Linked DNA regions of Tribolium castaneum. The protein of the gene in region 1 purifies or fractionates together with the protein of each later gene. This does not show direct contact. Links are inferred from orthologs where the notes say so. Each region holds a gene or a part of one and is shown on either strand. Other genes may lie near its edges.

What was found.
Region 2: the proteins of DCP1 (region 1) and Ge-1 purify together in Drosophila melanogaster (affinity purification with western blotting; 4 studies listed by BioGRID). This does not show direct contact. The link is inferred for Tribolium castaneum from reciprocal best matches to the Drosophila melanogaster genes DCP1 and Ge-1.

The regions. Positions count from the first base shown.
Region 1 is NC_087395.1:13,737,712-13,742,329, reverse strand, and holds the start of DCP1 (mRNA-decapping enzyme 1B), read left to right. Parts: upstream 1-1,584; 5' UTR 1,585-1,778; coding exon 1,779-2,477; intron 2,478-4,618. Other genes in the region: BCL7-like (B-cell CLL/lymphoma 7 protein family member A), read right to left, coding at 1,131-1,219.
Region 2 is NC_087398.1:143,592-148,186, forward strand, and holds the start of Ge-1 (enhancer of mRNA-decapping protein 4), read right to left. Parts: upstream 3,091-4,595; 5' UTR 2,955-3,090; intron 2,837-2,954; 5' UTR 2,834-2,836; coding exon 2,787-2,833; intron 2,733-2,786; coding exon 2,340-2,732; intron 2,276-2,339; coding exon 1,936-2,275; intron 1,886-1,935; coding exon 1,773-1,885; intron 1,208-1,772; coding exon 1-1,207. Other genes in the region: lysosomal thioesterase PPT2 homolog, read right to left, coding at 3,136-3,334, 3,384-3,657, 3,716-3,823, 3,873-4,014, 4,065-4,199. UniProt on the Drosophila melanogaster protein: In the process of mRNA degradation, seems to play a role in mRNA decapping. Required for silencing a subset of endogenous miRNA targets.

The DNA.
Region 1 (4,618 bases):
GAATTCAGACATTTCATGAAATGTTATACACTGCGGTTTTTATTTTACTGAACACACATAACACTATTAATCCTAGGTTAAATTTTTAAAAATTCTAATCAATGCATTATTATAATTCTTAGATTTTTGTATTATATGGTGAAGAATTTATTTCTCTGAACATTACATAACAAACTTAACAGTTTAAACTTATCCTCTGTTCAGTTTTAAAAAGTCCATATCAATCCATTGCAAACAGTTCCAAAGAAACGCCTTTGTTCAGCAAAATAAAAACCTCATTGTGTAATTTGCAAAGTGAAAAGTTGGTGAAAAAAGAAAGTAAAAATTCATATCCTTCAAAATATACCAGTTAATTCACGTAAGATGACGAGCTTTGGAAAAATAAATACAACTCACAATCGTAAGTTCTTTGTCGAACATCTTCTACATTTACATTTAATTTGTTTAAAATCATATGTACAATGAATTTTAGGTTGCATTCTATGGATGTGGGGCACGTTATCTTCTTACCTGAATCAACTGGTTTAACTTGTAGTCTTTAATTATGTAAACCAATGGGTGTTTTTATAAATTTTAAGTTGAGCAATTTATTACTCGAGTAGTCAGCTGTTTCACGAGCTCCAAAAATGTTAAAAATGCGATTATCAAATTTGAATTTCAAGATTCCTTTTGCACATCTTTTTCTATGGAAGTGTCTTAATATTATATTAATATGTCCTGGAATAAATACTGTAATTGTATTGTTTTTATTTATATTTCTAAGTTAGTTGTTTCCCACTCAAGCTTTAAATGGGTCATCCTGTAGGACTCCATTACCATTATCCGTAAGAAATCGTGGAGATTTTACTGAACTAATTGGAAAATCTTTCGTAAATTAATACTCTACTAATAACAACTATAAGATAAGCGATTGAGAGTTTGATTTCATTTAATAAATTTTTAATATCAGGAGCTAATTAATTCCATTGACAATCGATCGCCCTATCTATGAAAATTTTCCTTGCCATCTTGATATGAAATAATATAGGTACATTTTTAAAAATGAGTATCCCTACACATTTATACAATTATATGAGGTCTTTTAAGGAGAATTTAATTAAATAAACTAATAAAATGGGTATTAAACTTACCAGTGCCTAACCCGATCTATAACATTCATAACCTTCTTAACATCATCTTTGGCACGACTACGAGTTTCGGCACGAATGGAGCGCGACATTTTTATTCAAAAAGTCTTTTCACGATAATTAAAATAATACAAATCTAAAGTTTATAAATTCAAAGCCATTTTTCTAAAGTATACGAAAAACAAGCGAGTGTCAAAGTGGAACAAAGACGGACCAGGAAAAGTGTGTTCGGTGGTGTAAAACGTCATTCCAAGTCACAAAAATTACTGAAACGTAGTCAAGAAAATACGCATCTTATGACAGTCTGAGCTGTAACAGTACGAAGTAAAAACACATGGTTTGTGGTTTTATTTTTTGATCGAAAGTTTCGTTAAAGACAGAGCCCTGGTGCACCGTGGTTTTGTAGTCAACGAACAAATTTGTTACGTCCTTCGACAGGCGCGTCCTCTTGCAGGCGGTGTTGAACTAGAATGTGAAATTTTCAAAAGATTTTTCGTACTTTGTGTTTTTAATTTGATTGGACTGTGGTACTGAGTTTGTTTCGAGGAAACTGTGTAGTTCTTCATTTGGGGACGGTTAAATTTTGCGAAAAGTAGATGTTGTGGTTACCGGCCGCGGTCTGCATTACCGGCATTTTTGCAGTTTCAAATCATGGCCGATTCTATCGAATTGCGTATGAGTGTTACGTCTATCAAAAGAGTTGATCCATATGTGAAAGATATTTTAGCGACTGCTACACACGTTGCTTTATACAAATTCAACACCTCGACCAACGAATGGGAGAAAACCGACACTGAAGGCGCTTTGTTTATCTACAGCAGAAATGGAGAGCCGTTTCACAGTATTATGGTTATGAACCGACTCAACACAAACAATGTGATAGAACCAATTGTGAAAGACTTTGACTATCAGATGCAAATACCGTTTCTGCTCTACAGGAATTCAAAAAGCAAAATATTTGGCATCTGGTTCTTCAACCGTGAAGAGTGTGTGCACATTACCTATTTAATTGAAACAGTGATGGAGAGTCTCAAAGACAAGTCGAACGAGAGGTCGAAGAAGCAGGAGAACGGCGTTGACATTTTCAGTCTTCTCTCGAAGGCGCAGGAAGACTTCAATAAAACGCCGACGAAGCAAGAATCGGTTCCGCCGGCGTTTTCTACACCTAGGGATTGTACTTCAAAAAGTGTTATGGACTTTTTTGCTAAAGCCAGCACCAAGTCAACACATCAAACGCCCATTGTGACGGGGGGCGACGGAGAGAACGTGTTACAGAGGCTGATGTCCAACCCGGCTCACACGGTTGAACACATTGAGAAGCAGCAGAGGTCTATCACTCCACAGGAGCAGGTAAATATTATACAGTTATGTTTAGCAATATTTTAGTTTCATTACACAAATTGTTACGTAACATATGATGCGGAATCTTGTGTAAAAAGTGGAAATATGTTTGTTGAAGAATAATTGGCAAAAGGGGGCTGTTTAATGTTTTACTTTTAGTACCATAAAAGGCAATGAAGTTTGTTTATTTACTTTATTTACCTCAATATGTCTATTTAGAAATTTTTCTTATTTTTTGTTTTAGAAAATATCGAGTAAAATCATAGACCGATCTTAGATTTGATAAGATAATATCATTTTGTATCTTGTGAGTTTTTTGGGTTTGATTTATTAAAGTTATAGTATAATATTTATTGCAATGTGGTGCAATGTGTTCTTTATTTTGATTAATTAGCTTATTATTTTCTAATTGGTGGCACTTTGTATTGACAGTATCATTTGTGTACGAAATTTGTATTTTTTCCCGATTTTTGATGACTTTTTAAAACGTTTGACATAAGTAATTTACAAAAGGGTTGATTTTGCAAATACAAGAAACACTATTATAGTATTTTAATTATACTGCTATAAACTTTTGAACTTTGAGCTGTAAACAATGTTAAGCGTAAAGGTGGTAAATAACGATATTGTTTAGATTTTTTTATATCAGAAAGTGGCAGACGCTCGAATTATTACTATTATTAGATCTTGATGTTCAGATTGTCACGGTTGATACTTGCTTATGTATTTTTTTTGACATTTATTTAATTAAAAACGTTTTTATATCCCATTTCAGTTCACAGTAGAATTTATTTTAGAATTTTAAGAGCGCATTTGAATTTTTTATAGTAAAATAAATTAGGAGTTTATGTATAGGGAAAGAATTCTTTGAGCCAAGAATACCCACCAGAAACTCTCAATTTCTCCATTTCACTCCAAAAAATGCAAATGCGGTGTTGCAAAATTCTACTATGAACTGAAATGGGATAAACTTTACTAACGGCCGGTTTACAGCAATCTAATAAAATTGAAAATAATATAATAAATATTTATTTTTACGCTATATCGCTATGTCTTAAAAGTCGTGGACAGACACTTGAGATCAGCTAGATAGAGCTGTACAAAATACTATTTTCGAAAAAAATCTCAAAACTTTTCGTTTTGAAAACACAAGACTGAAATCCAAAACAAAACATGGCAACGCCCTACAAGTACACGTGTTTTTACACGTTTAGAAAAATATTAACCAAGAGAATTACCATGATACATAGTAAACAGGGTGTCTGTTTTTCGAGCTTCAGTTGTTATTATACGAGATACGAGGTCAGTTAAATTAGGGCAAAGATGTGCATTATTATGTTAAACAATTACCTGAAAGAAAATTTAATGCCTCATTTTTAGGTTTTGAAATATTGAAAAAAATTAAAACTTTGTCATTTTGGGTTTTACCTTTTTAAGCGAAACTTAAAAGAACTAGACGTTTTTATGTAGGATAACACTTTTTTACAAGAAATCTGAATGTCATTTGCTTTTTCCAAGGCGTTCTTCATGTCAGAGTTACTACACTCAACTTTGTTGTTTTTTATGGACGCTGTATTTGATACTTGTATTTTTTAAAAGACTTTTTGTTCCTGATTACAACGATGTATCACCATAAATCTGCATGCAAGCATGTAAGATTCGATCCTATCATGTGATACATCGTTGTAAAAACACTTTTCAAAAATATAAAAAACGAATATGGCTTCCTTAAGACAAATCAAAGTTCAATGTTGTAATTCTGACATCAGGAACGCCTTGAAAAATACTATGACAGATTTAAATTCCTTGTCAAAAAAGTGTCTATAACGTCCTTAAAAACGTCGAGTTCGTATGGTTTTTGCTTGAAAAAATTAAAATAAAAATTACAAATTTCCGTTTTTTCCAATAATTCAAAAACTAAAAATAAACGTCTATTTTTCTTTCGGATAGTTGTTCAGCATAAAAATGCACAACTTTGCCCTAATTTAACCGACCTCATATCTCTTATTTTCATAAGACTAATCTTGAAGCACAAATTCAGTTTCAAAAACAATTGGCGTTAGCCACGAGTTTTTTGAAGGAATGAGTGCTTCATGGTCTTATAAAACGAGTTTTTTATACTATTTTTGTAATTTATTTCCTTTTTGCCG
Region 2 (4,595 bases), on another chromosome or scaffold:
TGTTAAATCTAACTCCTTGTTAAAGTCTTCGCTCAAGCCTTGTTTAGTTTGGTTTAACGATTTGAGTTCTTGGTGAATTTTTTGGATAATCACATTTTGGTCACTAATTGCGTTTTCGATGCTAGTCAGTCTAAAATTGATTGCTTGCCACTGGTTTTTGTCCCATTCTGTTTCGTTCAAATTTGTTATCTCGTCTCCGCCTCCCAGTCTTAGGTTATCTTCTTTATTTATCTCATTATCTTTCTTAACTAGAGGTAGTTTCAGCCAAACCATTTCAGGATTGGGGTTCTCTTGGTACATGAGATTTTCGTTATGTTTGTACTCCTTCTGGGGTATTTCTTGTTCTTCTTGCATTTTCGTTAAATTATCGAAATAGTCCTGAGTGCTGTACGTTGAATTGTTAAGAGATAGAATTTCCTGAACTTCTCTACTAGGACTAGAACCTCCACTTGCAAAATTATCCTTTTCAGGTCTTTGAAAATCAATCAAATTCTCAACAGTATCGCCATTTGTGCCTTCGGTTGATTTATTAATATCACCATTGATGCTAGTTCTGACACTATTAGGACGAGAGTTTTGTTCAGCTGTTGTAAAAGCGTCAGGAGTCATCAAAGTTAATTGTTGCTGTTGCTGTTGTTTTATTAATAAAGTAACGGATGACTGAAGATCGTCCAATTTTGGCACTTTCTCCAATTCCTCTTTAATTTCATTAAATATAATCTCAGTATTACACAACATCGCATCTGGTTGAAATACAATATTACACTCTTGGAATTTTTTCTGCTGAATCACCAACATTTTGATAACAACAGCTGCAACAGTATCGTCTTCATCATCGTCATCTTGATCGGCATCTTGTGAAAACTCTTCACTCATATCGGACGAACGTAATTTGCGACAGTTGGCTTCGGTTATGTGGAAGCTCAAAAAGGCAGTTGGTAGTAAAAATTGCGATATCATTGTTACTGATATTTGTTGAGCTTCATCGCTTCGTTTTAATTGCAGGACGTATAAAACTTTATTGTTTAGATCGGACATTAATAAATACTGACCCGAGTAGTCTATACTCATTTTAAGATAAACACTTTGGATTAGATTCGATGGATCTGGTTTGAAATGGATTGTCTGGAGACAAGTCCACGTTTCACAAGACCACAACTTTAGCTCAGAGTTGTGATTCGCACCCGTTATTGTGAATTTCCAACACCTGAGAAATGGCAGCAACATTTTAGTCAGAGCCAATATTATTTTGTCTTTGAATAATATGTTGCTTCAGCAGCAGGACAAACAGGAAAAATATCATTGTAAGTTTTTAAATTTCTTATTCTGACATGCAATTTGCAATTGAGCCGTCTAAATGCAAAACTGACTCTTTGACAATGAGTTAATTTTGAGATATTTGCGAAAAACTATTTTTTAAAGTTAAAATAACTTTTAAAGAGCATTTTTCTTTATGTGGTTTCATTATAACTGTAAAAATTGAATGTCGTATGCTGTATAAATGATAGTTCAGGGATAAAATAGGAATTTAGATTTACAAAGAGCAAAGAGTGAGTTTTACATCTAATTTATGTAAATAATTGTAATAATTTAAATACCTACATAATTAAAGCAAACCGAAATTAATTAAAACAATTAAAAAAACGATTAGGCAGCAGATAGAAAATATTTTTCGAATTTTTGACAAAGAACGAGATTTGCATTTAGACGGCTCCAATTGTAAAATAAATATTTTTACCGACTTTAATTTAATCATTTTGTCATGTACTTACTGAGAACTGCACTCCAGCAAATTGTCGACAAATATGATAGAAGATAGTGGTTTACCATCATGTGGTCTCCACTCATGCAAGCACTTTTGCTTTTCATTGTCAACCATGTAAATCTAAAAACACCAAAAATGTGAACAATGACCTGTTTTGCGTTATTTTGTACTTGAAAAAATTTCACATAACCGTCTAAGCAAGCAATTGCAATAGCGGTCCCATCTGACGAAAATGAAGCATCTACCAATTCAGCAGTATGGCTAATTTCAACATAACCCTCATAGTTTTCATTTGGTTGTAAAGGACCTGGCCCATACTTTGCATTAATCATGCCAAAATTCCATATTTCGGCTTTGTCCCAATTTAATACCACAAACATTTTTTCAGGATCATCTGGTGTCTCCTCTTCCTCGTCAAAACAGGTCAAGTAGGGACACCAGATAATTCGAAAGTTGGGGCTTGAATGTGGGACCACATCACTGTGGAATATGTGGAGTAGTTGTTTGTATCTAATGGCTAGTTAAGGGCCTTTTTTATTTTTTTACGTTGCTTAATAAAAATTTTGAAGGATACTTTATTGCACTAGGTTCATCAATGATTTCATAAATGAAAACATTGCCTTCGTCGTCAATACATCCTAAAATAATCTGTTGGCGTGAAAAAGCAAAAGACAGGTCTTTGACATCATTTTTCAAGTTTTTGATTAGTGCTCTTTCGTTGGTCTCTTGGTTCGTAACTCGGATCATGCCCCCGTCTTTCCCCTTCATCCCATAAGCAATAATTTTTCCATTAATGTGAACAGCGACCAATTGTCCGCGATAATAGTGAAACTCCCAATTATAATCAATCCGATTGATAAGTTTCACTTTAGAACTTCCATGGTTATGCTGTCCCGAGTTACACTGAACTGTTACTTCATGACCCACAATTTTTGCAGAATATTCCGTATCAGAATCGGTGTAACTGCTGCAAAAACACCAATTCCCTCAAACATAACCTCAAATTTCTGCTCATACGTACATGTTTTGGATCACGTCGTCTTGAGGGGCGAGCGGTGGCGAATTCATTTTCTATAAACCAAGAGTGGTAAAAAACACAAAAACCAAACCGGACTCAATATAAAAAACACGAAAATCGCACATATTGCGTCTCAAAAATTAACAAATTTATTGAAAAATGTGGGCTTACGTGTGTCTTATCCCAACTTATTAAAAGTCACTCTAAAAAGAAAAGATAAATCGTCAAACGTCAAATAAAAAATTCGTTTTAGTGGATTTGGGTCGTGATATTGGCACCAAGCGAACTTTAAAAAAAGGCGCCAACCTAGTTTTCAGGTTTTATTAATTGTTGACTACAGTTTGGTGTTGACTTAATCAAGGTATGGTAAAATATAATTGTCGACGATTGAGGTATTGAGATGCCACATAAAATGGTTAACACCAGGGACAGTGATAATTTTTAATTTTCCAGCCTTATCCAAAGTCTTCAGTCCAATAAGATCATCCTTGTAAATATCACGATCGATTAAGTTGACCACTGTATCATTTTGGCCAAAATATCCAAACTGACTGAAAAATTTTTTACAAAATTATTAATTTTACAAAAATTGAAGTATACCTTGACTCCCAGGGGGTTATCACGTTGTCATCAGGGCCCCCAATCAGCACCATTGCGTTAAGTTTAGTTATTCCCTTCTTGAACTCCTCACTTCTGTTTGAAATAATTTCATTGTTCACGAATGGTAAATATTGGGAATATTCTTTGTATAAAGTTTGGTGGTAAGGGTCGTTCCAGTAATTACCGACTGAGGTGTGTTGGCCTACCCTCGAGTAAAATAATTCAAAAGCTGATTTGAGTGCCAAGTCTGGGAAAATCAAATGTAAAAAATTCGCTAAAATTATTTTTATTAACAATTATAAATGTTTCAATGTTGGTTACAATGGTCGTACTTCCATACTGACCGGCTTGGGGGCCACTGAGTGAGATAAAATTATGAACATTGTGATTGTTAAATGTTTGTAGAATTGTTCGTGAAAGGAGAGCCCCTTGTGAATAACCTACAATATATTTGACTCTTCAGTTTTTTTCCCACAAAATAAAACACACCTAATAAGTGTATCCCTTCAGGATGTTGACTTGAAACGTTTAGGAGATCTTGGCCAAGCTGCTGGACTTGATACCACATGTTTTCCAGACTTGACCAACCAGAAAATCGATTAGTGTTGTAAATTATTGTACCGGGGTGTTGCTGGTGTCATAATTATTTTTTTTTTTTCATTGTGCAAAAAAACAACTTACTTCCTCAATCCGACCTTTGATTATTTCCATACTAGCACTTCCTGTCATGATTCCATGAAGTAAAAAAACTGGCTTATAACTCAATATTGTTATAAATAAATCACAGATAATGCAAAGTAAAAACAGATACTTCATTTTCACAAAAATAAATAAAGTACAATAAATAATTTCCTGAGTATTGTAACAATCTCACTTGTAAACACCAAAGTTATCACTAGCAGATTTGCTTACTGCGTTTTAAATAATGATTGGTCAGTCATTGTTCTTTGTGTGTTTAATTCGGACATTGAATGATATATAAATATAAACAATGAGTTGAATTAATGAATTAATTAATAATAATGTTGTCACTATTCATTTATATTTGGTTAGAGAACTGTCAGTGTCATTTTTTATTACAGCAATCTATAAAGGTACACCTTGCAATTACTAGTTGGAAGAACTGCGTACAGGTGGCCGAAACTTCGTCGTTTCCTGGGTCAAATATAAATCTTCTTCAAATTATATGTTATTCTTTTCCGGAAGTAATGA